7 linked regions of the Mus musculus genome follow. The protein of the gene in region 3 interacts with the protein of the main gene of each other region in a biochemical or structural test. Links are inferred from orthologs where the notes say so. Each region holds a gene or a part of one and is shown on either strand. Other genes may lie near its edges. The genes, in order: Mast1, Htra1, Rps6ka1, Pard3b, Mast2, Grasp and Grid2ip.

Region 1 (3,500 bases), on a different chromosome or scaffold from region 3:
ACGGCAGACATACTTGTCTTCTGAGCTGCCAGGGCCCAGTGCACAGGAAGTGCTCAGAAAGCGTTCTCCACAGTCTTTAACATGGATAGGGTATTATCTTGTTTGCTGTTAGTTGTATACCCTTTTAATTAATTAATTAATTAATTAATCAATAAGCAAGGTCTGCTGTGTAGGCCAGGCTGGCCTGGAACTTGGGATGCTCTTTCCTAGTGCTGGGATGACAGGTGTGTGCTGTCACAGCAGGCTCACACACTTGTTTAAGTAATGGTGTGTGTGTGTGTGTGTGTGTGTGTGTGTGTGTGTGTGTGTGTGTGTATTCTGCTAGGGATGGAACCTAGGGCTACCCATGTTAGGCAAACCAAAGAGCCATGCTCTCAGAGACATGTTAGCAATATTTGTTGAGCTGGGCCCCATGCCAGACACCAGGGACTCTGTATTGAACAGAACTTTACCTTCCCAGTCATGGTCCTGACACAGTAGTACCAAAGCCAAGAAAGAAAATAAGCAAAAATGTATAGAATGATGTATTGCTTATACAGGGTTTGAACTAGCACACGGCCTGGGTGTGGTACTGCAGGCCTGAGACTCCAGCTACTCAGGAAGCTGAGACAGGAAGGTGTCAAATCCACAGCCTGCAGGGGCTCTGCAGTGATTTCAAGGCTAGTTAGTGGACAACTTAGTGTTAACCAGGAGTGTAGCTTAGTTAGTAGAGTGCTGCTCTCCTGGCATGTAGAGGTCCTAGGTTCCATCCCCAGCATCTCATAAGTGGAAGTTGGCAGTGGCATAAGACTGTAATCCCAGCACTCAATAGGTGGAAACTGAAGATTCTCAAGTTCAAGACCATCCTCAGCTACATGACAAATTGGAGACCAGCCAGCACTACTGGATACCCTGTTTTGAATAGAAAGAAGGGAAGGAGGAAGGAAGGAAGGAAGGAAGGAAGGGGAAATGCAGTTCAGTGGTAAAGCACTTGCCTCAAGGCCACTGGTTCACAGAGTTCAATTCCTAATGAGGGGTAAGGGGGAGGGTCTAGGAGGCCACCAGAAAGGGTGACAGTTGCATAAATAACTGAAGGGCCTGTATGGAGACAAACTTCCAACTCCTCCATCAGACCTAGAGTGGGAACCACAGTACCCTGCCAGCCTGGAATACTGCTCTTGACGGGTGTAGGAACCGGGTGGGGTCTGTCCTGCTCATGGGCGGGGCCTGAGGTCATTGGCACTCACGTCCTGCAGCAGCTTCTCTAGGTTTTCCTGCAGTTCATAGAAATAGACCGTGGTGATGAGCCCATCGCGGGACTTGGTAAGGCAGTCTCGGGCCAGTTCAATGATCTGATGGTGGATGAAGCTGAGCACGCCGTCGGCCAGCGGCAGCACGCTGTCAGGTTCATAGGCGCGGGCGAAGTCCCGCAGCTTCTCTTCCATCTGTGCAGTGGCCTGGACAACGGTACAGGGATGCAAGGCTCTAGGAGGCTGTGGTCACTGGAGCCGCGCGTCCTGATCGCTAGGGGGCGCACAGAGCTCAGGCGCTCAAGCGAACTAAGGGAAGTCGTGTGATGTGGGAGTGGGGGGCGCGGGGGGGGGCGGGTTGTTTCACCTTTGGGAACCGCTCCTTGTACACATGGTTCATCATCACAATTTCGTTGTCGTAGGAGGAGGGGGAGCGGCCGGGGCTGCAGGAGAAGAAGTTCATCCTGTCCAGTCCCCTGACTTAGTGTTGCCCCGCCCCCACTCCACCCCCACCCCCGCCGCTGCCTTTCCCTCTCCCCCGCCCCATCTCGCACTCCACTACATTTTCCCAGGACCGAAGATTCCCTGGTCATGCACCAAATCTCATCCCTCCAGAAGGGAGGTTCAGTGCCTGCGCACCTGAGGCTGCGAGAGCGAGGACGCACGGCGGGAGAGCGGCGGCCACCATCCTCGTCGGTGATGCTCTCGGTGCTGCCGAAGTGTTTGGACAGAAAGTGCAGCTCGTCCACGGTGGGCTGGTACGGTAGTTGATGCAGGCGCTCCTGGGAGGAGCAGGAGGACTACGGGGAGGGCGGTGGGTCAGAGCCACCGCGGGGGCAGCACAGCACTGGACCCTGGCCTGGGGCTCCCATCTGTGATCCCAGCGCTTAAGAGGACAGAGGGTTTGAGGCCAGCCTCGGTTACACTGAGATTCTATCTCAAACCACCAAGGGGTTGGGGAAGATTGCTATGCAGAACCATCCATTGGCTCCTACCTTACAGTGCGCTCTCAAGTCCTTCCACTAGACCTCCTGGCCTTACCTCCTTGCTGTCATTCTTCCTACGCGTACCTCTGCCCGCTCTATTCCATCCCTACTGCTCCTGCAGATCTTTGAACATGGCAGATCCGGTTCTGCCCCCGGAGCCTTGGTATTAGCTGTTTTTTATGCTTGGATCACCCCTGTGGATCACCTGCTCTGCTCCAACCCTTGACTGGAGAGTTAGCTTTTTCTTTTCCTTCCCTTCCCTCCTCCCATCCTTCTTTCTTCTGTGGTACTGGAGATCAAGCCCAGGGCCTCAGGCATGAAAAGCAAGCTCTTTGCTTCTTCCTTTTTTTTTTTTTTTTTTTTTGGTTGGTTGGTTTGGTTTTTCTGAGACAGGGTTTCTCTATGTAGCCCTGGCTATCCTCTATCCTGAAACTTACTCTGTAGATTAGGCTGGCCTCAAACTCAGAGATCACCCTGCCTCTGCTTCTTAAGTGCTGGGATTAAAGGTGTGCGCCACCACTGCCCAGCCTTTCCTTTTTTCTTTTTCCTTCTTCCTTCCTTACGCTGCTCCCCCACCAGTGGTGGTAAGGGGTGGAGGAAAGGTCTCATGTAGCTTAGGCTGGTCTTGGACTCCTAAGGTTCCTATTTTAGAGTCTCCAGGGGGCATTACAGGCTATGCCACGGTATTCTGCCATACAACAGATACTTTCAGATTGCTTCTGCTCCTGTTTTCTGAGGCCTTTGGAGTTGACCATGGTGCTGACCTCCTGAACACCTCACCCCCAAGTTCCAACTGATCCTTTATCTTGGCTTCAACCACTTCCTCTAGGAAGCCTTCCTTTATACCCTCAGTCAGGTCACATGATCAAAGCTTGTAACCACCATGGCAAAGGATGGAAAACCAGAGCTTTTCCTGCAAGGGGCACTGAAGGACAGAGATTTCCGAGGTGTACAGTGGGTAAGCGATTGGGCTCGAGGTAGAAGCTATGCGGGCTCTGGCTAGCTAATGGTACTTGGATACATGCCTTAGTCCCCAAGACTGAGTCATCACGGACAACGAGAGTAGGTTCCTAGGGAAATGCAGTGAGGGCAGCGATGGGCCTCAGCGGAAGACCTGTCACCTCTAATGGATGGACAACTGAGCATTCGGAAGGGCCGTGAAACCCGGCCTCTCAGGACAGCTGGGACCTCTGGTCCTGGTGTGGTCACTTGAGTCCCTACCCACCCATCCATCCACCTCCACATACTCACTGAAACAGTTGAGCTGGGCGTGTTGGTGCCATAG
Region 2 (3,500 bases), on a different chromosome or scaffold from region 3:
GGAGAACTGTGGTGGTTTGAATGATTTCCCCCACCCCACCCCCACCCGGGATGCTCTGGTATTTAGCACTTGGTTCTCAGTTGCTGACTGTGCTTGGGAAAGCTTAGGTGGTATAGGCTTGCTGGAGGAAGTACTGTCACTGGGGGAACGTCACCGGGGGTAGGCTTTGAGCTTCCCAGCACTCCCAGTTTGCTCTCTCTGGTTTGTACTTGTGGTTAAGGATATGAGCTCTTAGTTTCCTGTTTCTGCCTCCACCACCATAGTGAACTCTTATCTCCCTGGAGTGTAATCCCAAATACACGTTTCCTTCTAAGAGTTAAAAGAGCCTTGGTCATGGCAGCTTTTCACAGCAGCAGAAAGTAACGGATGCAGCTCTGTGTGATGCCTCTGCAGAAGTGGAAATGGGATGCATTAGATGAAACTACAGCCTCGGGGGTGGATCCCAGATCTTCCTGTTATTTACGTGTGTCATTAAGACCATTTAGTATCCATGGAGAAATCCTGGCCTCAGTTTCCCCAAATATAGCATGGTAGCAATGCTCATTTTCAAAGTCTGCAACAAAGTAGAAAATTAAAAGGCTGTGAAAGCAGACTTAATAAGGTGATTCTGCCATGGATTTGTCAAGTTGGTTTGTCTCCCTAAAAGTTGCAGTCCTTTCCCTGAACCTGGGAACATCATCACACCATGGGAAAAGAGATCAGAGTTTGTGGCTGTATCAAGCAGCTTCGGGTGGGGAACTGGGCGGATGGAGGCTCCCTTCCTTTCAGTATAGGAAGCTGGTCCCTGCATGTCCCTGTGCTCAGTTGCATCCAGTTGGAGTCCTGCAGACCCTGATAGAACAAGAATAAGTCACAGATGCCCTGGAGCTTTTGGGGGAGCCTGGGGACATGCAGCTGTGATGGGTCACAAGAGGACTGGAAAGGTCCCAGTTCTTACACAAAGCCCAGAGCCTAGGGAATGATTCCCCTTCCACAGAGAGGCGCGCGCGCACATGTGTGCGTGCATGCGTGCATTTATGTATGTGTGTGCATGTGCAGATGTGTGTATGCGTGCATATGCTTGTTATGTGTGATTACATAAATGCGAATATGTGTCCATATGCTCATGTATGTTCTACACATGTGAGTATACACACATATATGGAAGTGCTTGTATGTGTATGAGTTTGTGTGCTTGAGTTAGTCTGCATGTCTGTAAGTGTGTGTTGATGCTTTAATGCATTTTTGGCTCCCTCTATCCCACGTCTTGTTCCAGGCCTCAGCACAGGCTCAGTAGCACTAAACTGTCTCATCTCTGCCTTTGTCCTCAGGGCAGGAAGATCCCAACAGTTTGCGTCATAAGTACAACTTTATTGCTGATGTGGTGGAGAAGATCGCCCCGGCTGTGGTTCACATTGAACTATATCGCAAGTAAAGAGGCCTGCCCTGTTCCCTCACTAAGAAATAGCACTAGAGCTGCTTCTGAAGCACATTAAAGTGTCAGGAATGTCACTGGGCAGATTCTTGGGTTACGATCAAGTTCTCTGCCTTAGGGAAAGTTCCCTATTTAGACCTATAATCTTGGCCCTTTCAGCATTTTAATAACTTCTAGCTCTGAAGTGATTCCCAGGGAATATTTCCTAAGTGGAATATTTTTTGATGCATTCCAAAAAGTAGCTTAGCGTTATTTTTAAAATGTTAAATGCTTGCTACAATGTGTGTGAGTTGCTCTTGCAGAGTCATTCCCTTGTGTGTGCAAATGAGTTCAAGCTCAACTAATGTCTGTTTCAGGCTTCCTTTCTCGAAGAGGGAGGTGCCAGTGGCCAGTGGGTCAGGATTCATCGTATCGGAGGATGGACTGATTGTGACAAATGCTCACGTGGTCACCAACAAAAACCGGGTCAAGGTTGAGCTGAAGAATGGAGCTACCTATGAAGCCAAAATCAAGGATGTGGATGAAAAGGCGGACATTGCGCTTATCAAGATTGACCACCAGGTGAGACGCATCTGGGGCCCGAGTGCCTCCTGGGCCTGCAGTGCCCAGCTCTCAGAAGGTGAGGTGGAGATGGTGAGGACATCAGAGCTCCCTGGTACCCACAAAATGAAGCTGCAGGGCCAGACAGGTCTCATCAAAGAGGGACCTGAGCAGGGGAAAAGGGAGGAGGGGGGGAGGGAGGAGGGAAGCCCTTGGAAGAAGCTGGCTCTCAGATCAGAGGTTTTAAAAGCAGCATCTTCTCTTTATAAAGCAACAGGCTACAAAGAACTTAATGGGTGGCTGGTGAGAATGGAAACTCCAATCCTTGATGATGAAGCATCTATTACAAAGTTATGTTTGTCTCCACTGAGGTGACCTGGATTCTCCATGGCTACAGAATGGGCTTTGAAAAGAGTTTTAAAAATTGTCTTTAATTATGTGTTGTGTGGGTAAATGGGTATGCACCGAGAGATGTTGGATACCCTTGCCTAGAGTTACAGGGTTATGGGCCACTAGACAATGGGTCTCTGCAAAAGCAGTATGCTCTCTTAACGCCAAGCCATCTCTCCTTGTTAAGCACTTGTTTGTTTATTGTATGTATATGAGTGCACTGTCGCTGTCTCCAGACACACCATTCCAGGTGTCCCATTACAGGTGATTGTGAGCCACCGTGTGGTTGCTGGGAATTGAACTCAGGACCTCTGGAAAAGCAGTCAGTGCTGTTAACCACGGAGCCATCTCTCCAGGTCAAGGTTTTGGGAACCTTAAGACAAAATTAACACCTCTCTCTTGAGACCCTAAGAATCCTTAATATTATGACATGACCATAGTCCCCTCAAAAGGGCTGCAATGCATTATCTACCCAAATTATAGCCTTCCATTAGCCTGTAACTCAGAAGCAGGGCCAGTACAAAACTAAGACACAGTAAGAGTGAGCTCAATTTGAAAAATGCTTATGTGAAGTTGCTCTGCGAGTTATTGGAGTAGCTACTTCTAGTCCTACCTGAATTTTATTTTATCTTATTTTATTTTATTTTTGGATATTTTTGAGACAAGGTCTTAAGTTCTAGCTGTCTTCGAACTTACTTTGTAAACCAGGCTGGCCTTGACCTCAAAGAGATCCTCCTGACTTTGCCTCCCAAGTGCTACCACACCAACAGCAATTTTTTATTAAAGAAAATGAAAGAAAATGTTTTTAATTTAATATTCTGCTTACAGTCACATTTGCTTAGCGAAGTCTTTGTTGTCTTAGGTCTCATGTGGCACAGGGTGCCTTCAAACACATCTATTATCTGTGGATGGCTTTGAACCTTTGACTCCCCTGCATCTACCTTCTGTATGTGAGGGTTATGGACATGTAGGACCAAGCCAGGTTTATATAATATTGTGGATCAAGCCAGGGCTTTGTGAGAGCTAGCCAAGTACTCTGCCACATCTCCCACACTTGTTTAGCAAGGCCTTCATGCCTGAAACTACATACAGTTCTTACTGGATCACCAGCAAACGTTCCCAGTCCACCTCATGTAGATCACATGGTGATGTGAGG
Region 3 (4,180 bases):
AGATGGGGAAAGACAGCACGTGCCCTGCAGGCAGGAAGCAGCCCCAGGAACTGGGTTCTGAGCCCAGCCCTGGCAGCCCTGTTGCACTGTTGGAGCCTGGGGGCCAAGTGCCAGGACACTGCTAGCCCTCAGCCAAGGCTGGACAAAGGCCCTGAGGCCTGAGAAGTGTGTGCCAACATCCGGAGCTGCTCTCTGCCTACCTGCCACCTGTGCCAGTTGAAACCCACCCCACACTCATCTTTGAGTCTCTCTTGCTTGGAGGGAAACAGTGACAGCACTGGGTTCTAGTCCTGATATTAATGCACACGCCAGCATCCCTGAGTCCTGCCTTCCCATTTGAAAATGGGAGGGGGGGTCATCTTTTTTAAAGTTGCATGACATCAATAAGTAGCAGCTGGAGACAAAGCTCTGCTGCTTTCAGCAGAACCAAAAAAAGCCCAGGTAACATCCTCACCCCTACGTCCAGTTGGTTTAGTCCACCTGGGCCCTGCCTGCCAGCAGCCCACTTCTGGTGACAGCAATGGGAAGACAGGGCAATTCAGATCCCAGACCTCTTCTGCCAAATGCCCTTGCCAGCCCCCTTACCTGCCTTCTTCCTGGCCACAATGGCGCCAGTACCTGCAGGCTAGGCACTGTATCACTTACGTGTCATCTGCACGAAGAACAGCAGGGCCCTGTTCTCAAGTGAGCATGCACACCCTCACTGCCCCACAGCTCTGGTTACCCAAACAATAACACCCAGTCCACAGGCACCTCCATGGCCTGGGGGAGGGGACCCAGGCAGCAGGACCCAGGGTTTTGCACCTTGTCAGGCCCAGGAAGTAGAGCTAGAAACTCATCTGTGGTGCTGGAAGGAGAGGCCCAGACAGCTTGAAGATGGACTTAGGGCCACACAACATTTCTGAAGTGAAACTCAATGAAAAAACTCCTCTCCCCCATCCCAGGAAATGTGACAGTCTCCCCTCGCCTGAATTCAGGTGCAACAGTATTCAAACTAAGATGTTTCCGGTTTAACCTGGCCCCCATGAGGCTGCCTCTGGCCTCAGGATTTCCCAAAGGGAAGCAGGAAGTGCTGCCCTGGAGGAGGCCAGCACTCCTAGAACTCTACTCTCCGCGCTAGGGTAAAGCTGTGAGTCCCTAGGCTGAGTCCCTCCCTAGCCATACCGAGGTCAGGCCTCCCTTCCTCTGGAGGCCCAGGTGGCAGGGGCGTGCCCAAGCCAAGGAGTACACCTCTGAGCCTTCCCTGGGGCCTTGTGCCCCAGTCCTGGGGAGTGTGGGGGGAGCACCAGGGGCTGCAGAGAGCAGTGCTCCTCACCTAGGAGGGTGAGTCAGCCAGACAGCCTCTGAGCGCCTGTGTAGGGCCTGTAAAACCCCCGTGGCAAGGATCCCAGAACAATTTACTCCAAATTGCGCCTTCAGGTTGGTTACCTAATCCAGCCGCGCCCACCCTCCAATAGCCAGTGTAGCCCATCCCTTTAAAGGGGCAGCATGCCCTGAGTGCCTGGAGACTTGGGGATCTCACTGTGGATCCTCTCTCTGCCCGTGGTCCTGAGAGACAGGGCTCACAGTGACTGACCTGAGGTACCAAGCATAGGTAAAGGGGTTCAAGCCAGGAGAAAAAGCATCTAGGTTCTGGGATCAAGTGAGGTCTCCTGTACCCCAGCCTCCTGTACCCCAAAACAGCTCCAGTGAAGGAAGGCAGAGTTTCACCTGCCTCCTTCGCAGCAGGAGAGCAGGGAAAGTTTTAAAGTTGCTGGTTCAAAACTTGACCTTGATCCCAGGGTGACAGGACAGCACAGAAGTGGCCTCCTGCATGCTCAGGGTTGGACCACAAAGCCCTCAAAAAAGACAGGAGTTGCTTCTGGGAAAGGCTAGGTGGCAGAAGCCATACTGCCCAAGGGCTCAGCCTTTTTCTACAGGAAAGGAAGGAGGGAGAGAGGAAGACGGAGGCAGAGTCTCTTCTACAGAGACAGTCTTCACAAGATCTAAGGACTTTCCCCACTCTTCAGCATAATCTGAAGTAGGAAGACCCGGTGTCATTAGCTTTAGGGCAAAGGAAAGCAGGCTCCAACTCCAGAGGTGGTATCGTCCCACGTTCCATAACTGCCTGGGATTCAGCAGGGCTACCTTCCTAAGGTCAGAAGTGGAGGAACGAAGAGAGGTCTTGGGGAGAGGTTAAGGTGAGAAACCGGATTCCCATGATCCTTGTCTCTAGTAGAAGCCTAGACATCTGACCCAAGCCTTTCTCCCTTCTGCACTGATTGGGGCAACTCCCACAGCTACTAAAAGATGATAAGCGGGATGGGTCCTAGGTGTCAGATCTCAACACACCGTGGAGATTCCTCTCCTGGCTACTGCAGGGAGGTACTGAGAGCCCAGCAGAACCATCCCCTACACACGCACACCCGGAGCACAAGGGGGTGGAGCCGGACAGTGAGCTAGAGACCGGAGGGCACTCACGTCCCCGCGGGGCTGCAGAGACGCCGCGGGCCGCCCCCGCCCCGCCCCGGTGCGGATCCGGGCTGGCCGGCCGCCGCCGCCTGTCCCCCCAACCCCCGCCCCTCTCACTCACCTCCGGGTCCAGCGGCACCAGCTCCATGAGCGGCCAGGGCTCCTTGAGCTGGGCGAGCGGCATCGCGCCGCTGCCGGACCGCCCGCGCTCCTCCCGGCGGCCCCGGGCAGCGCTGCCTCTGGGCCACGGGGTCCCTGCTGCTACACCGAGACCCCCGCACGCCCCTGAGCCCCTCGCGCTCTGGATGGGCCGTCCGCCGCCGCCGCGGCACTCGCACTTCGGCTCGCTCCGTCACCCGGCGCCGCCGCGCCCATTGGCTACCTGCGCGGGGGCGGGGCCTGAGTAGCCCCGCCCAGTCCCCCCACGGCGCGGCATTCCCGGCGCGGACCCCCGCCCCCAACGCGCCGGGAGTCAGCCTTGCCTTCACGAGAGACCCCAGCCCACTGTCGGCCCTGCCCACCGGAGGCTCCGCGGGTTCCGTTTTCCCGGGCTTTGTGCCGCTTTGCAGACCTCGCTGGGGCCTCCGTTGTCCTGTCCTAGCAGCCTTTGGGATGTTAACCCAGATGTGCCTTCTCCCTCCAGGGGGAGGGGCTGCCACCCCACATTTACATGGGACGTCCTGGGCCTGATCCCGACTGAGGCGTGGAAGGAGCCTGGGCCTTGTGCCCTCTGGCTCTCAGCTCTCCAAGCCCTTAGGATCGCCCCCTTCCGAAAGCTTGTGCACATCACGGGAGCCCACACTTTGGGGTCTCCATGTGATCCCCGGGTCCCAAGCCAGCCAGCGCCAGGACCCACAGCGCCCCCAGGGTGATTTCCTAATACGCATTTTTTTTTCTCCTTCCTAGTCTGTTGTGCCCTATCACTTGAGGGCGCTGGTTTCAGGCCAGGTCCGCGCCTCTTCCGTGGCAGACCAGATTGTGGTCTGACTTGAGCAGGAGTCCCTGGAAAGAAGGCAAAATCCAGTTCTGGTGGGATCAGGATTCTCTCCAGTAAGATTTGGCCTGCTCTTAAGGAGATTTTAGGCCCCAGGTGTCGTGAGACTTACTCTCAGGTGAAAGACAAGCTGGCTCGTTTATTAAAAGCCTCCAGCGAAGACAGGCGTCATTGATAGGGAATTTATTTTTTGTTACGTTTCCTTGCTTGGTTATGGCCATGGAACCCAGGCTTTGCCGGCCAGGTCGTGTTGAGTATCTCCGACCTCCACCTTCAGGCAGCTTGTGATTTTTTTTTTGAGACTCCACCCCATCCTAGTAGACACCCTAAGCTATTTATCCGAAGTCACACAGCAGGTCAGGAGCACACTGGTGTTTAAAAGAGTGTGGGGTGGGTCCGTGGATGGACTCAATGGGTAAAAGAGCTTGCCTTCCCTGAGTCTGATCCCCAGGCCCCATGTGGTGGAAGAGAACCAACTCATAAGCAGTCCTTTGACCTCCACAAATGTGCACAGGGACAACCTTCCCCGATAAAGACATTTTAATGCAGTACATTTTTAAGTGGAGAGAAGTCACTCACGCCTCTAATCCTAGCAGTAGGGAGGCAGAGGCAGGAGGATCTCTGTTCAGGGCTAGCTTGGGCTACTTAGCCAATTCTAGGCCAGCCAGGGCTACACAGTAAGAACCTGTATCAAAACAAAACAAACAAACCCCCCAAACCCCAAAAACCCAACTA
Region 4 (3,500 bases), on a different chromosome or scaffold from region 3:
TCGTCATCAGCACAAGATTCAGGGGACACCTCAAAAGGCTTTTTGTGCCTTCTTCACACACAAACAATACAGTTATAGCCTTGACTTTTACGAATGTCTTGATTTTTATGAATATAGCTGAAGATGAGAGAAACCTTGACCCTTTTCCTGAGCATACACAATGGCGTGGTTTAGCTAGGAGAAACAATGCCAAGTGCCTTCACAGCGGGCCCTTACCTCAGCATGGCACCGAAGCCCTTCCTCTTCATTTTCCTCTCTGCGTCCTCATGTTCCTCCTTCAGCTTTTTTTCCTTGACTTTCAGCTTGCCCTTTCCTTTTTTCTTCTCCTTCTCTTTTGTTTTTTTGATGTTTTTGGCTTTATTTTCCACATTGTCTAGCTCGGGGTTTCCCTGAGGGGCAGACTCACAATTCAGAGCTGTGTGGCCTGAGCGAGAGCTCTTATCAGACAGACCATCTGTAGAGAGAAAAATCAATACCCATAGTCAGGGGCACTTACCACTAGTATATATAAAATACGTCAAAATGTAAAATACAGAAGGAATACAAGTACTCTATGTTCTGCTGAACCACACGGCTACTTGTACCCTTTGAAGATAGGATTTCTTAGCCCTGGGTACTTCAAGCAAGGTCTGAGGCTAGGAGTGGGTCACACTGGTTGCTAGCTGGTAGCACAAAAGGCTTGAAATGTGCTAAAGCAGTAACCTCTCTGAAAGCTAGCTTGTTAACCTCCGATCAGTTCAGAAAGCCCACATGCTGGGAACAAGCAGGGTGAGCTTCTTTCCAAAAGAGATTTTTGCGTATAAATATAACCCACTGCTCCTACGCAATTAATGCAGTCAGTCCTCTGGTTGATGTTGCTTTTAATGATTCAAATAAGAATGCCAAGAAACGCATGCTTAGTGCTCCTGCCCTAAGGGTAAATGACAGTTGGTCCTTCTAAAAAAGTGAAAGAGAATTTTTTTCCCCCATTTGCACTGTGAAATAAATTGCACATTGCATCCTCCAATCTAATGTTCCTTAAGCCAAAGGGCAAAACATATCAGGAAAATGAATTACTTTTAATATCAAAAATATAATTGTGATCCTTAAATCATTTTTTTCAGTAGTTAAGTGAACATTTTTGCTTATAATATGCAGATGGTAATGAGATGAAGAGCCCACTTAAGGGGGCATATGGCCCTACCCGCGTCTGCCTCTTCTGGCCCATCGTACGATTTGTCGATGGCTGCTCGGAAGCTCTCGTTGCAGCCTCGGCCCCGCACCATGTGTGGTCTGGGCCTGTGGAAGGGCAGATCATTCTTCCTGACTTCAGCCACAGCCGTCTGTAGGCTCTCCAAGGAACTGGACTTTTTCAGACCCAAAGTTGGACCAAAATCTTTGCCTGGAGAGTCTGGAAGAGAAAGGGTGAAAGGTCAGCCTTCTCTATGATAGAGTAGTGAGCTATAGTGGAAAGACTCATAATTCTGAGAATAGTTCTGGCTGGGCAGTTTAGAAAAGACTGTGTTAAGTCAGTAAACATTGGGGGTTGAACTCCAGCTTTGCCATTATCTTTGGTTATCTTGGGCAAGTAGGCTGCCATCTCTGAAACCCAGTTTCTTTTTCTACAGCTGTGGTAAGATTTTAGATGACAGTATTTAAATTTGTTTTACTCGGGGAAATTTATACATATGTGTATATATGCACACATAGATAGACATACATGTGAACTTGAAAAGCCACTAAACTAGTCACTATCTATAGATTGTATGTTTGAGAGGATATACATCCACGTACACATATGTGGTCAGAGAGACACACAAGCTCTTTGTAGAATGAACTGGCCTCAAACTCACAGAGATCTGCCTGCCTCTGCTTCCTAGACCAAGGCATGCAGACTCATAACCCACCTAACACAATCTGTGCTTCCCATTAGTATTAATCAGTCATCTCATCCGCTATACCTGTTATTACTGCCAGAGTTGTTTATTTGATTGGCCTGGAAATCAAACCATTAGTGATAACAATTTTCATAGTTAAGTTCTTTACATTATCATAAAGACAATTAATGCATGGTGAATTAAATGTATTTATTCTGTGAATAAAGCAAAGCAAGGAAGAAAACAACTTTTCCTAATGCTGTTGCTCCAATTCTAGTTCCATTTGAAGTGCAGGAAAGGAGCCTCCTTTAATATAATAGACAATTACAGCACAGAGATGTAAAACATAAGAGAGCTTTCAGGGCCTATCTTCTACCATAGATTATCTGCTTCTTGTACAGTTTTTCTTGCCCAAGGCCTACTCCCCTCCACTCCATTCCTTGACTCCACTCCTGTTCCAGCCAGTCTCCTTATTATCAATAACAAGATTAAGTGATGGAAATATTAGTAGGCAAATGGTTACTTACAAGATAGAAAAAATTCCATTAAGGCTTTTGTTTCAGCACTCTCACTGTCTACCAAGGCCTGACTGTTCCCCTCCAGTTACCAGGGAGAGACTATTGTCATCAAGAGAATGCACCATGTTTCTGAAAATAATAACTGTGCAGCTTATCCACATATGTGACATCAACACACGTATGTGTTGTATCTACTTCAATGCACACCAACACTCGAAGGCTTGGCAGATGCTCTACCTTTTAATATTGCTATCCCTGTTCTCACTTTTACTTCCACTGCTACCACAGATGTGACTCTAGCTTCTCACTGTGTACTACAAGGGCTATAAGACAAGGCCAGGCAGCAGTGATAAGTCTAATGTATGCAACAGCCTCATAAGTTGGTTAGCAGCATAGACTTCCACCTTTGCTGGAATATGTAAAGAACTGTAATAATAGCTACCAATGTACAGAATTCTCAGAGTGTGCCCAGCACCTCCCTGCCTTTCACTGATATTAACTTACTATAATCCTTTCACTTGTGGTACTAAGGTATCGTTTGGGAGCTAGGGAATCAAATTAAAGGTCCTAGGTATGATAAGCAAATGGGTTATTACCAAACTAACTCCTGTCCCCCTGTTAGCATTTGTAGATAAGAAAAGATGGGGAACATGTTAAAGTTACACACTTCATGTCCCCACTGGGCACTGAACAGAGGCAGTCCAACTGCAGCCTTTCTGTTTTGTACCACGAACCTTACAACCTCAGGACGTGTTCCGTGCCTGCCCACTACTTGATTATGGTAATCAAGCTTAAGCTGACATACATTTTCCTCATCTCCAAAACAAAAAGTATTAGTCTAGATGAGCCCCGGAGCCCACCCAGTCAAGCCAGCACACCGCAAGAATTAGGTATTACATCATGGTTTCATCATTAACTTGCAGGAGGCAAAACTTACAGAAACAATACACACAATGATAATAAACACCACATTTTATAGATGACAGTGCATAGTCAATAAAGGAAACTGAGAAGAGACTGAGAAAAATACAAGAAAATTCAGGGACAAATTGCAGGTGCTATTTGCAAGCATAAATACTAAGGCTGTGTTACAGTTAAATCCAGCAAAAAGCACTCTCCCTATGCA
Region 5 (3,500 bases), about 18 Mb from region 3:
TCAATAAGGAATTTCCAGGACCATGTCCCTGGCTTTCCAGAGGTGGAGGTGGCAGCAGAACAACCGGTAGGGGTAAGTTCTGAAAAGCTGGGACAAAGTGCAGTTAGTGCCTGTGTGTGGAGGTGCTGGGCCTTCCAGCAGCCTTCAGAGGGGGTGGGGCTTGTGGGTCCAGACCTGCTCAGGCTAGGGACTTGTAAGGGGTTGGTAGCTTCCTCAAAGGCTTGTGGCCTGCTGAGCTTCCTTGGGGAGAGCCCAGGAACGTCTACTCGGGGGGAGCCTAGTGTGGCCCCTGTCACTAGACCTGAGAGTACAGGGCCCTGCTTCTTTAGATCCCTGTGCAAGAAAGTGTCCTCTTCTGTACCCTCTCCTGAACCTTTAGGGAGTAGATTGTGGCTTGCTTCTGGGTGGGGGGACAATCTTGGCTCCTGTGTGGCCTGGCTGTTCTCAGGCTCCTCATCAGTGTCATCTTCTGAGGAGTCTACTTCCCGGATTGCTTCTTGTTTTTGCAGTGACTCACGGCGTTCAGCTCGATCCTGCCGTAGGGTCCCAAGGGCCCGTGAAGGAGCAGGCTGCAGTACCCCCTTTCCTGGAAGTGGCCCTTTCCCGGATAGCACACTTCTGGTTCCAACTACCTCCAGAGGGCTGGCTTCCCTGGGTGTCAGTTCCTTCTTTAGTTCACCATGGGGCAGGTCAAGACTATGTTTGCGGGAAGGTGCTAACTTCTTCTCAGCAGCTGCCAGTGCAGCCGCCAGCTTCTCAGCAGACTGCACCCTCTTAAGTAGGGGAGAGCGGGGTGGCTCTGCACTCTTGGGCCGTGAGAGCTGCCTACCTAGCGGAGGAGACAAGTGAAGTTTGGTAGGAAAGGACTGAGACCCATGGCCAGACAAGGGTGATGGGGAACGCTGAGGTGAAGCTGCCGTTGCTGGTGGGGAAGGGGTGTGGGCCAACGGTGACAGTGGGATGCTGCCTGCTGACTTGCGCCGTGGTGAGCGGTATTGGCGTTGGAGCTTGGGTGCCAGACCGTGAAGAGAGCTGGGCCGTGTATGTCCAGAGCCAGCAGGAGAACTGGGCACACTGGAGCTGGGAGAGCTGCTCTGCGAGGAATTCCCTCCTACTTTGGATGGTTGCATGGGTGGACAGACAAACAGAAAACAAGACATCAGTGTTAGCTGTTAGAAGTGACTGAGCAGTAAGGCAGAACTTTGCTCTAGAATGCCCCAAGACTGCTGTTCACTTTTTACCACTGGTGACTACAGTCCACTTAATCTACCTTCACTGCCCCCACCCATCAATCTTCCCAACACTTATAGATCTTCAAGGTTATGCTCAAAGAGCTTTAGAGTTGGCCTATGGGAAGCAGATGGCTCAAGTTCATTCCAATTTCCCAAGGGATGGTTTCTGATTTGCAGGGGTACCCCTGTACCTGAGTGCACAGCATCTGGGGCTACCCGGTATCCCTGAGGAGGAGATCTGGGAGAGAGGCTGTGGCTGTGTGTGGGAGAGCCTGGACCACTCTCCCCTGATGACAAGGAGCGGTTAAGGGAAGAAAGGCTGCGGCTGGTGTGGAGCAAGGAGGCCTGCTTTGTGATTTTCCGGAATAGGGAGCTTCTTTTTCGGCTGTAGAGATAAGGGGACAGCATACTGTAGGCTTGATCAAATGTGGGCATCTCAGGGTAGACCTCTGGACCAATTCTGTCTCACCTTTCTTGCCCATCCTTGCCTTTGCTCCGTTTGCTCCTTCGGGCCATCTTGGCTTTATAGCTGCCTTTCCTAGCTGGCCCCACTTTGATTGACGTGTTCTCCAAGGGAGTTGTTGAAATTGATACCTTGTTTCCACTCTAGGAAGCCAAGCAGACAAAGCTGGAACCTTTGGATGGGGCTGTCTCCCCTACTCTTACTCTTCCCCGCATCTTAACTTAAACCTTTGGATGTTCCATACCAACATGTAAACTAATCAAAGGCTGTTTTCCCTCACAGGATAGGAAATGCTCCAAGTGGCACTCCAGAGGAGTTTAGGAACGGGCAAGACAGCAGTACCTCTCCTGTCCTGACATCAGTCTTACTTGCAGTTTAGAACGGTCTGGGGTTTGGCCAGCAGATGAGGTTAATTACCATATGGAGAAAAACCTCCTGTATTGCACATTCAAATCCTGCATGTCCCTACATCTATCCTTAATGCTACATGTACGCGTACCCGATCCTCTCACTCCCCTTATGGCGAGTCCAGGCTCACAAGTCCAGGGCAGTCATACATCACACAGAAGCATTCTTAGCACTAACCTTCAGAACCAGCTCCACCACTTCTGTGTGGACTAGCCCATGCACAGGCTCACCATTGACATGGGTGATGAGGTCACCCTGACGAAGCCCTGCTTCACTGGCTGGACCACCATCCTCCACATGCTGCCTCAGGAAGAGAAAAGCCTTTAATCGGGAGCCTGGTTCTGCTGCTGTTGTGACCCTTGACTACCACCACCCTCTGGTTTCTGTGAGTTATGTGGGCAGTGACCAAAGAAAAGGCAGATAGGCTCTGGTAAGGGGAAGGTGGGAGTACACAGCTGGAGGACAACAACTCTGTCTGGCCAGACATACCCACACCATGTGGTGTACGGTGTAGACATCAGTGTCACCCATGTAGACTCGAATGGCCCGCAGGGTGAAGCCATACTTCTTGCCAGCTCGGTGGATGATGATGGGAGGCCTCAAGCTGCCAAGGGCTGGCAAGAAGTCCCTGCTTGGAGAAGAGTCCCTGGATGATGGATTGGATGACTGGGAATGTGGGGACATAGGGCTGGCCAATGGTGAGCAGGCATGGTGTTCTGGAGAAGCAGAAACCAAGACTTAATGATCAGAGGTCTTCTTTGGTTTTTTTGGTTTTTCAAGACAGGGTTTCTCTGTGTAGCCCTGGCTGTCCTCAAACTCAGAAATCTGCCTGTCTCTTCCTCCCAAGTGCTGGGATTAAAGGCGTGCACCATCAGAGGTCTTAACACAGCCATGATCCTAGCTGGCCTAAGCTGTTGACCCCAACCCACTCCTAGTCCACTACAACCCTGCTTGCTCTCTGATGCCCGTGTGCGTACATCATAAACATCAACCTGGATCTTCAGAGACCTCTATGTTCATGGAAAGGAGGCCGTCTCTCAAATACTTACCGGCTTTACACATGTGCCCACGCATCCCCAGCCTCCCATGTCCTTCCTATGCATTTTACCTTAGTTCCCTGTTGGCCTTACCTGAAGGAATGAGGAGGGAAAGGGCCGTAGCTGAGGCTGACTTGATTACTTTGTTGACAGGGCGAGTGGTGCGCTTCTCTATAGAGTCCCCAGAGAGCAGCCGGTGACGGGCCCTACGCACAGCTAGGTCGCTGATGGCTTTGGCTGTAGCTTCCTCAGCTAGCTGAGGGGTCCCACGGCCTCGTGTCTCCAGGGCTGTGGGCCCAAGTGAACAATGAGATCTGTGGTACAGCTAAGCCTCTCCCTGTAGTATATCCCAGCCTATGC
Region 6 (3,025 bases), on a different chromosome or scaffold from region 3:
CTTGTGGAAAAAGCCAATGCAGAGGCCCAGAGGGACATGTCTGTAGCCAGCATTCTGAGCAGTAAGGAGCCCAGAAATGAAGCTCAGGGCTTAGCCAGGGAGGCACAGGTGTAAAGAGTGGGAGGAGGGCCAGGAGACTGACCTGTCTGTCACAGGTTGGGTGAACAGTGGCTAAGTCTGTGGGTCTAGCTACTACTCAAGGCAGACTTCAGATGGGCCAGGAAGGAACATTAGACAGCGATCCTGTATCTGTTGTGGGTATCTGGGGAGGGAAGCTTCAAAAATGCACCTGAAGGAGAGGCCCGGGTTCTAAAGAGGGTGTGGGGCCTCAGTTCAGGCCAGAACATGTTCATTAAAATCCCCTAGACAGTTTCCCTGGCTTCAGGCTAAAAGAAAGATGTGAAGTACAGCCCGTGTGTGTTTGGAGGGGGCTGCATGGTGGAGTCAGAGCTTGCCTGAGCACAGTCCTCCCCCACAGGCAGTTACCACACTGACACAGATGCAAAAAAAACCCATCAATTTTATACAGTTTGTGGTTCAGAAGCAACATATGCAGAAAACGGTGGAACAGTCCAGGCTGCCCCACCCCACCTGAATGAACTCATTCTTGTTCCCCAAGGAGCACAGAACCCAGGACCCCGGCCTGGCAGGACCCCACTTAGTTATAGGCCCCTGGACAGGGGTTAAGCCCTTAGGGGTCAAGGTTGGAGGGAGGGGACCAGCACCTTGCCCCCTTGGGGCCCACTGGTCCATTGATGTGTGTGTGTGTGTGTGTGTGTGTGTGTGTGTGTGTGTATCTGTCTGTCTGTCTCTGTAGGGTGGGGAATGATCCATCGTGGATCTCCTCTCCCCAAGGCTAAGGAAGGGCTGGGGAGCCAGTATATCTGAGGAGAGGGTTTCTTGGGACAGGACCCCCACAAGGCACGACTGACCCAGACTTTAGCCTGGTACAGCCCTCTTTGGTCCCCCAGATTTCTCCCAATTCCCAGTGTCTATTCTCCCCCTGTAGAGCTCCTGCTGTGGTTTAGGGGAGGGCAGAAAGCAACTAGCCCCCCCCCCCTTTTTTTTTTGTTCAGCAGACAAGCCAATGAACCGACCAGAAAGACCAGAGCTAGCAAGGACCCTCTCCCGCAGCTTTGGGCTCCCGGGGTCCTTGGACCGACACTACCGCCCCTACTTTTTGCACAGGCTGTTACGATGAATAAATAAATAAATACTTCCCACCTGCCCACCCGCGCCCCTACAGCTGGCTCTCCTCTTCCTCCAGGGAGCGGTTGAGTCCGGGGATGAACTTGAGCAGCCGTCTGCGGAAGCTGCGGTACTTGGTCTTGCGTAGGCCGGCGCCACACAGGGCCTGCTCGCGGGCCTCAGTCCAGAGTGCGCCCGGCGCGCCCCCGCCGCCGCCCGGGCCCGCGCACCGCACACTGGCGCTGCGGCTGAGCGTGGAGCGAGGTGCGGGAAACAGCACGGACGCGGGGGTCTCCGCGGAGCTCGGGCCTAACGCGCGCGCGGGGGGTGGCGGGGGTGGCAGTGCCTGCGGCTCGGCGCCCCCAAAGAAGCACGTGTGGTACACGGCGTCGTCTGTGTCCCCTTTGGCCCGCCGCGCACCCCCGCGGGCACTCCCAGGCGCGGCGAGCAGAGGCCCAAAGGGCAGCGACCCGGGAAGCAAGCCTGCGCCGTAGAGGCAGGAGCGCACGGACTCCAGTGTGTCATAGATGCTTGGGTCTTTCACCACCAGGCCTGTGGGGACAGAAGACCCGGGAGCTTCCTGAATCCTGGAGCCACGCCCTAGGCTAAGGGGCAGAAGGCATGGGCAGAAGATCCTGTTCTTTCCTTGTGGCTACCTACGAGTGCCCTGGGCCCCAGTCTTTCTGTCTGTAAAGCTGGAGTTAAACTCAAGAACGCCTCTTAAGACAGGAAAGCAGTCCACAGAAGTGAGCCTTAGCTGTCCGAGGACTTACTACTGTAGACTAGGCTGGCATCAGAGATCAGCCTGCCTCTGCTTCTGCTTCTGCTTCTGGGATTAAAGGCCGGCAACAAACAGCAGTACTCAACCCTAACCTCCAGAGGGCGACTGTGAGAACAAAACTGTGTTATCAGCTTAGGGCAATGTGAGGTCCCAAGCAGTAGCTCCAGGCCATCCCTGTGAGTTCTAAGAGGGGAGTGCTGCTGGGGGTATCCGTGGGGACGCCCCGACCTACTCACCATGTACTAGCCGCTGCTCCTGTACCATAAGTGACCTGTATTCTCCCCACTTCTCGTACAGGGTTTGCTGTAAGACACATGCAAGCCAACTGTCAGGACTACCAGGTCCCCAGCAGGATATGGGGACGCATGGGAAAGGGAGAAAGGCACAGAAGCCTCGGGGCTAACAGAGTTTAAGAAAGATGCCGGAATCCTTAAAAGGGCCGGAGGAGCAGGGACCGGAAAGAGGAAGGCAGAGCCCATACTTTCTTGATCCCCACCTTAAGGTACTGCAGGCGCGCCTCCAGTTCTGCCTTCCGAATGGACGTCCCGTACAGAGTTTCCAGCCTGGGGGATAGAGGGGGACAAAGGCTGAGCGAGCCTGGAGGCTGAGGAAGCACCACAAACTCAGGAGCCCTTAGGCACTGCACCTAGACACGGATACCTGAGAACGTTGCCAGACGCCTTGATGATATCGACAATCTCCCGGTGCCGGATGCCTTCCACGTTGAGACCGTTGACGCTGGCAATAGTGTCCCCTGCCAGGAAGAGCAGAAGTGAGTATCTGTTTCCCAGGGCATAGAGGAAAGGCTCCAGCCAGAAAGAGCAGGATGGTGACCTGGAGAAACCACCCAGAACTCACTTCCACAGTGGTGGAAGACCTGGGCATCTCTTTTTCTCTACTCAAAATATACAAAACCAGTTGTGGGGGAAGGGTGGCAACACATGCCTTTAATCCCAGCACTTGGGAGGCAGAGGCAGGCAGATCTCTCTAAGTTTGAGGCCAGCCCGATCTACAGAGCAAATTCCAGGACAGCCAAGGCCATACAGAGAAACACTG
Region 7 (3,500 bases), on a different chromosome or scaffold from region 3:
GTCATCCAGCCTTCAGTAGGCTGAGGAGAGAGGGTCATGAGTAACCCAGGGCCTGCCTGGGTTACATAGCAAGTCCTTATCTGAAAATGGGAGTTGAGGGGTGCTGAGTGATTGCTCAGTGGGTAGTGTCTGCCATACAAGAATCAGGACCTGAGTGTGGACTGCAGCACCCCTGTGAAAATCTGGACATGATGGTGTACAGCTGTTTCCTAGGTGACAGACCACTGAAGCTCATTGGCCAGCTAACTTAACCCGTTGGTAGAGTCCTAGGTTTAATGAAGAGATGGTCTCAAAAAGTAGGGTAGATGGGCCTAAAGAGATAGCTCAGTAGGTAAGAGCATTTATTGGTCAAGCATGAGGACCTGAGTTCAAATCCCCAGCACCCATGTTATTAAAAAAACAAAACAAAACAAAACATGGCACAGGACAAAGACATTTGATGTCAACCACTGTCCTCACACATGTGTACACATTGACATATATGTGCACACATACCAGACACACACCAAAGGAGACTTTAAAACAGGGCAAACCCCTCAGGTCTCTCTCTTTAGTCTTCTTGGATGTCACCAACATCTTCCTTCTTCATGGACAGAGTTCCAAGAATGGCTGCCTTACTGACCAGACGGGGAGTCAGTTCTTAGCTTATAACTTGGATTATGCAGCATGTCTTTTTTTTTTAATTGTGTGTGTGTATGTGTGTGTGTGTGTGTGTGTGTGTGTGTGTGTGTGTGTGTGTCAGAGGCCAGAAGAGGTCGTCAGATACCCTGGAGCTGTAGTTACCAGCAGTTGTGAACGGTCGGATGAGGGTGTTGGGAACGGCACTCAGGTCCTCTACAAGAGCAGCAAGCATTGCTGAGCCATCGCTCTAGCCCTGGTTTACAGAATTCTTTCCTTCCTCTCTTTCTATTTTTTATTTTTTGAGACAAGGTCTTACTGTGTGGACCAGGCTGGCCTGGAACTCACAGGGACCTCTGCCCCCTGAGTTCTGGGATTAAAGGGGTGCACCATATCCTGCTTCTATCTAGTGCTTCCTGCCTGCACCCTCCTCTTGCTCCTGTCTTCCTCTTGGACCTCCTGGGCCCTATCTCTTTGGGGGTCCTCAGGATGAATCTCAGAGGCAGGCTGGTTGCCTGGGCTCTCCTGCTCTGACCATCTCACGATCGATTGCTTGCAGCTTGGGGAAGACTCTGACTATGACAAGCTGAGTGACATGGTGAAATACCTCGACCTGGAGCTCCACTTCGGCACCCAGAAACCTCCGAGTGAGTGGCGGGGCCATGCTGCCTGCTGCCTCGTAGCTTCCGGTTCCCAGAGTATACACTGCTAGACACTGTGTCTCCAAACTTCAAGACCTTTCTGCATACATGCATGAATCCCTTGATGGTCCTGTAAGCTAGATCACAGAATCACTTTCACTTCTTAATGAGGAAGCCCAGAAAGGCTAGGTAGTTTGCACCAAGTCACAAAGCCATGGTAGGATGAGCATCCTTTTCAGTCTCCCTCTCCACCTCATCCTTTCTAGGTATCTCCTTGGAGTGTGACTCCAAGAAGTCAGTAGTTTGTTCTTGTATGCAGCACAAACTCAGGAAGTGGTTGGTTTTCATTGTTCAGCCTGAGGAGTGCAGGGAAGAGGGCCTGCGAGGGGACAGTAGTGTGGGGTCTGACAAGCCATGTACTAAATGCCTTAGGCTGGACCTGCGGGTCCACGACCGAAAGGCTGAAGAATGAGGCGGGAATTTGGATGCCTGGAGCTGATGTAGTTGAGTTGATGCATCCCTGCAAAAGTTCCTTGACCACTGGTTGTAGCCACACCTCTCCTTTGGCCCTGCCACAGCAGCCCTAGTCTAGCCCCGCATTCCCCATTAAACAGTACTGTTTTCTCTTCCAGAGCCAGTGCCCGGCCCGGAGCCCTTCAGGAAGAAGGAAGTGGTGGAGATCTTGTCCCACAAGAAGGCCTACAATACCTGTGAGAAGCTTTAGGGTCCCCACCTTCAAGGGCCCAAAAAGCTGAAACCCGCAAAGGGGAGATCGAAATTAAGATATGGGGACTGGGACCGGCCACACTGCTAAAAGAAGGCCGACTCTCAGGGCAGCAGGATCCCCAATCTGTACTCAGGTGTACTCCTAGGCACCCTCTATTGGCACCATAATGCGTTTCTTGGTCCTGGTCCTGGCCATACCTCCAATCATATTATCGACTTCGTCCCTCCTTAGTTCCTCGCCCCGCCCACTGTTCTCACCCTTCTACCAGGTATCTGTTTGGGGGGATCCCGCCCCTCTTCTGTCAATCTCCAAGACCCCTATTCCCTGGCTACTCTTACGCAAAGCCCTTCTCCGCTAGGTACTTCTCTCAGGCCCCTCCTCGCTATGCTCTTCCCAGTACCCTCGCCGAATCAAGTCCCTACTCTTCCCTGAGGCCTCGCCCCTAATTCGGCCCCGCCCCCCCAGGGCCCCGCCCCGTCTCACCCTAGTGCCCCACCCGCAGCCATTCTCCTAGCGCACCTGAAGCTGACCCCTGGCGAGCTGCGGCAAGTGCTCATGAGCATGGAACCCCGGCGCCTGGAGCCTGCTCATCTGGCGCAGCTGCTGCTCTTCGCTCCTGACGCCGACGAGGAACAGCGATATCAGGCTTTCCGCGAGGCTCCGGGTCGCCTCAGTGAGCCGGACCAGTTCGTCCTGCAGGTGCTAAGACCAGCCTCCAGCCCCCACACCATGGCTAGGGCTCCTTCGCATGGGCTCCCTCTGCAGTCAGAAGTTGGCTTCTGTCCCAGGTCCCTTGAAGACTGCCCTTGGCTTCTTAGTCCTAGTTTAACTCCTTTGAGTTCTCACTTTAGGTCAAGGCAGACGCGATGAGATTGTTCCCAGGGTCAGGTTAATTTTTCCTAAGGGGTACCATGTTCATCTGTCAGAGGACTCACTCCCCAGGCTGGGCAGAAGGTCCCGGCTGGGGATGCATGAATCTGGCCTGGGATGCATGACTTTCCTTCAGATGCTGTCGGTTCCCGAATACAAGACCCGCCTGCGCAGTCTACACTTCCAGGCTACCTTGCAGGAGAAGACAGAGGAGATACGAGGCAGCCTCGAGTGTCTGCGACAGGCATCTCTGGAGCTCAAAAACAGCCGGAAACTCGCCAAGATCCTGGAGGTCAAGCCATTCCCATCCCTGTTTGTTTAATCTGATCTTTTTGTCTCCTGGGGCGCCCAGCCCAAAACCTACACATGGGGAGGGGGCGGGGTGAGTATCTGGATAGGATCATTCTACTTTTCTCCCCACAGTTTGTGTTGGCCATGGGTAACTATCTCAACGATGGACAGCCCAAGACCAACAAGACCACTGGCTTCAAGATCAACTTCCTGACCGAGGTGAGGGCCAGGCAGGCACCCATCTACTCTAGCTGCCAGACCTGGAGGCAGAGTCACGTTGTGGCAGCTGAGCCAAGTGTGGCGGCATACACCTGTAATCCCATCACTTAGAAGGTCGAGGCAAGAGGATCAGG

Evidence for each region.
Region 1: the proteins of Rps6ka1 (region 3) and Mast1 interact in a test that uses a peptide from one of them, tested with the Homo sapiens proteins (2 studies listed by BioGRID and IntAct, with this or other methods). The link is inferred for Mus musculus from reciprocal best matches to the Homo sapiens genes RPS6KA1 and MAST1.
Region 2: the proteins of Rps6ka1 (region 3) and Htra1 interact in a test that uses a peptide from one of them, tested with the Homo sapiens proteins (2 studies listed by BioGRID and IntAct, with this or other methods). The link is inferred for Mus musculus from reciprocal best matches to the Homo sapiens genes RPS6KA1 and HTRA1.
Region 4: the proteins of Rps6ka1 (region 3) and Pard3b interact in a test that uses a peptide from one of them, tested with the Homo sapiens proteins (2 studies listed by BioGRID and IntAct, with this or other methods). The link is inferred for Mus musculus from reciprocal best matches to the Homo sapiens genes RPS6KA1 and PARD3B.
Region 5: the proteins of Rps6ka1 (region 3) and Mast2 interact in a test that uses a peptide from one of them, tested with the Homo sapiens proteins (2 studies listed by BioGRID and IntAct, with this or other methods). The link is inferred for Mus musculus from reciprocal best matches to the Homo sapiens genes RPS6KA1 and MAST2.
Region 6: the proteins of Rps6ka1 (region 3) and Grasp interact in a test that uses a peptide from one of them, tested with the Homo sapiens proteins (2 studies listed by BioGRID and IntAct). The link is inferred for Mus musculus from reciprocal best matches to the Homo sapiens genes RPS6KA1 and TAMALIN.
Region 7: the proteins of Rps6ka1 (region 3) and Grid2ip interact in a test that uses a peptide from one of them, tested with the Homo sapiens proteins (2 studies listed by BioGRID and IntAct, with this or other methods). The link is inferred for Mus musculus from reciprocal best matches to the Homo sapiens genes RPS6KA1 and GRID2IP.

The regions. Positions count from the first base shown.
Region 1 is NC_000074.6:84,927,354-84,930,853, forward strand, and holds part of Mast1 (microtubule-associated serine/threonine-protein kinase 1), read right to left. Parts: coding exon 3,467-3,500; intron 2,030-3,466; coding exon 1,869-2,029; intron 1,673-1,868; coding exon 1,597-1,672; intron 1,437-1,596; coding exon 1,227-1,436; intron 1-1,226. UniProt on the Homo sapiens protein: Microtubule-associated protein essential for correct brain development. Appears to link the dystrophin/utrophin network with microtubule filaments via the syntrophins. Phosphorylation of DMD or UTRN may modulate their affinities for associated proteins.
Region 2 is NC_000073.6:130,960,203-130,963,702, forward strand, and holds part of Htra1 (serine protease HTRA1 precursor), read left to right. Parts: intron 1-1,310; coding exon 1,311-1,410; intron 1,411-1,770; coding exon 1,771-1,975; intron 1,976-3,500. UniProt on the Homo sapiens protein: Serine protease with a variety of targets, including extracellular matrix proteins such as fibronectin. HTRA1-generated fibronectin fragments further induce synovial cells to up-regulate MMP1 and MMP3 production.
Region 3 is NC_000070.6:133,884,998-133,889,177, forward strand, and holds the start of Rps6ka1 (ribosomal protein S6 kinase alpha-1), read right to left. Parts: upstream 2,801-4,180; 5' UTR 2,636-2,800; coding exon 2,573-2,635; intron 1-2,572. UniProt on the Homo sapiens protein: Serine/threonine-protein kinase that acts downstream of ERK (MAPK1/ERK2 and MAPK3/ERK1) signaling and mediates mitogenic and stress-induced activation of the transcription factors CREB1, ETV1/ER81 and NR4A1/NUR77, regulates translation through RPS6 and EIF4B phosphorylation, and mediates cellular proliferation, survival, and differentiation by modulating mTOR signaling and repressing pro-apoptotic function of BAD and DAPK1.
Region 4 is NC_000067.6:62,341,824-62,345,323, reverse strand, and holds part of Pard3b (partitioning defective 3 homolog B), read right to left. Parts: intron 1,391-3,500; coding exon 1,184-1,390; intron 455-1,183; coding exon 217-454; intron 1-216. UniProt on the Homo sapiens protein: Putative adapter protein involved in asymmetrical cell division and cell polarization processes. May play a role in the formation of epithelial tight junctions.
Region 5 is NC_000070.6:116,307,224-116,310,723, forward strand, and holds part of Mast2 (microtubule-associated serine/threonine-protein kinase 2), read right to left. Parts: intron 3,429-3,500; coding exon 3,234-3,428; intron 2,820-3,233; coding exon 2,593-2,819; intron 2,404-2,592; coding exon 2,281-2,403; intron 1,839-2,280; coding exon 1,702-1,838; intron 1,618-1,701; coding exon 1,424-1,617; intron 1,115-1,423; coding exon 1-1,114. UniProt on the Homo sapiens protein: Appears to link the dystrophin/utrophin network with microtubule filaments via the syntrophins. Phosphorylation of DMD or UTRN may modulate their affinities for associated proteins. Functions in a multi-protein complex in spermatid maturation.
Region 6 is NC_000081.6:101,230,232-101,233,256, reverse strand, and holds the end of Grasp (general receptor for phosphoinositides 1-associated scaffold protein), read right to left. Parts: intron 2,724-3,025; coding exon 2,630-2,723; intron 2,533-2,629; coding exon 2,466-2,532; intron 2,273-2,465; coding exon 2,206-2,272; intron 1,741-2,205; coding exon 1,241-1,740; 3' UTR 501-1,240; downstream 1-500. UniProt on the Homo sapiens protein: Plays a role in intracellular trafficking and contributes to the macromolecular organization of group 1 metabotropic glutamate receptors (mGluRs) at synapses.
Region 7 is NC_000071.6:143,384,830-143,388,329, forward strand, and holds part of Grid2ip (delphilin), read left to right. Parts: intron 1-1,177; coding exon 1,178-1,265; intron 1,266-1,891; coding exon 1,892-1,969; intron 1,970-2,488; coding exon 2,489-2,685; intron 2,686-2,992; coding exon 2,993-3,148; intron 3,149-3,279; coding exon 3,280-3,366; intron 3,367-3,500.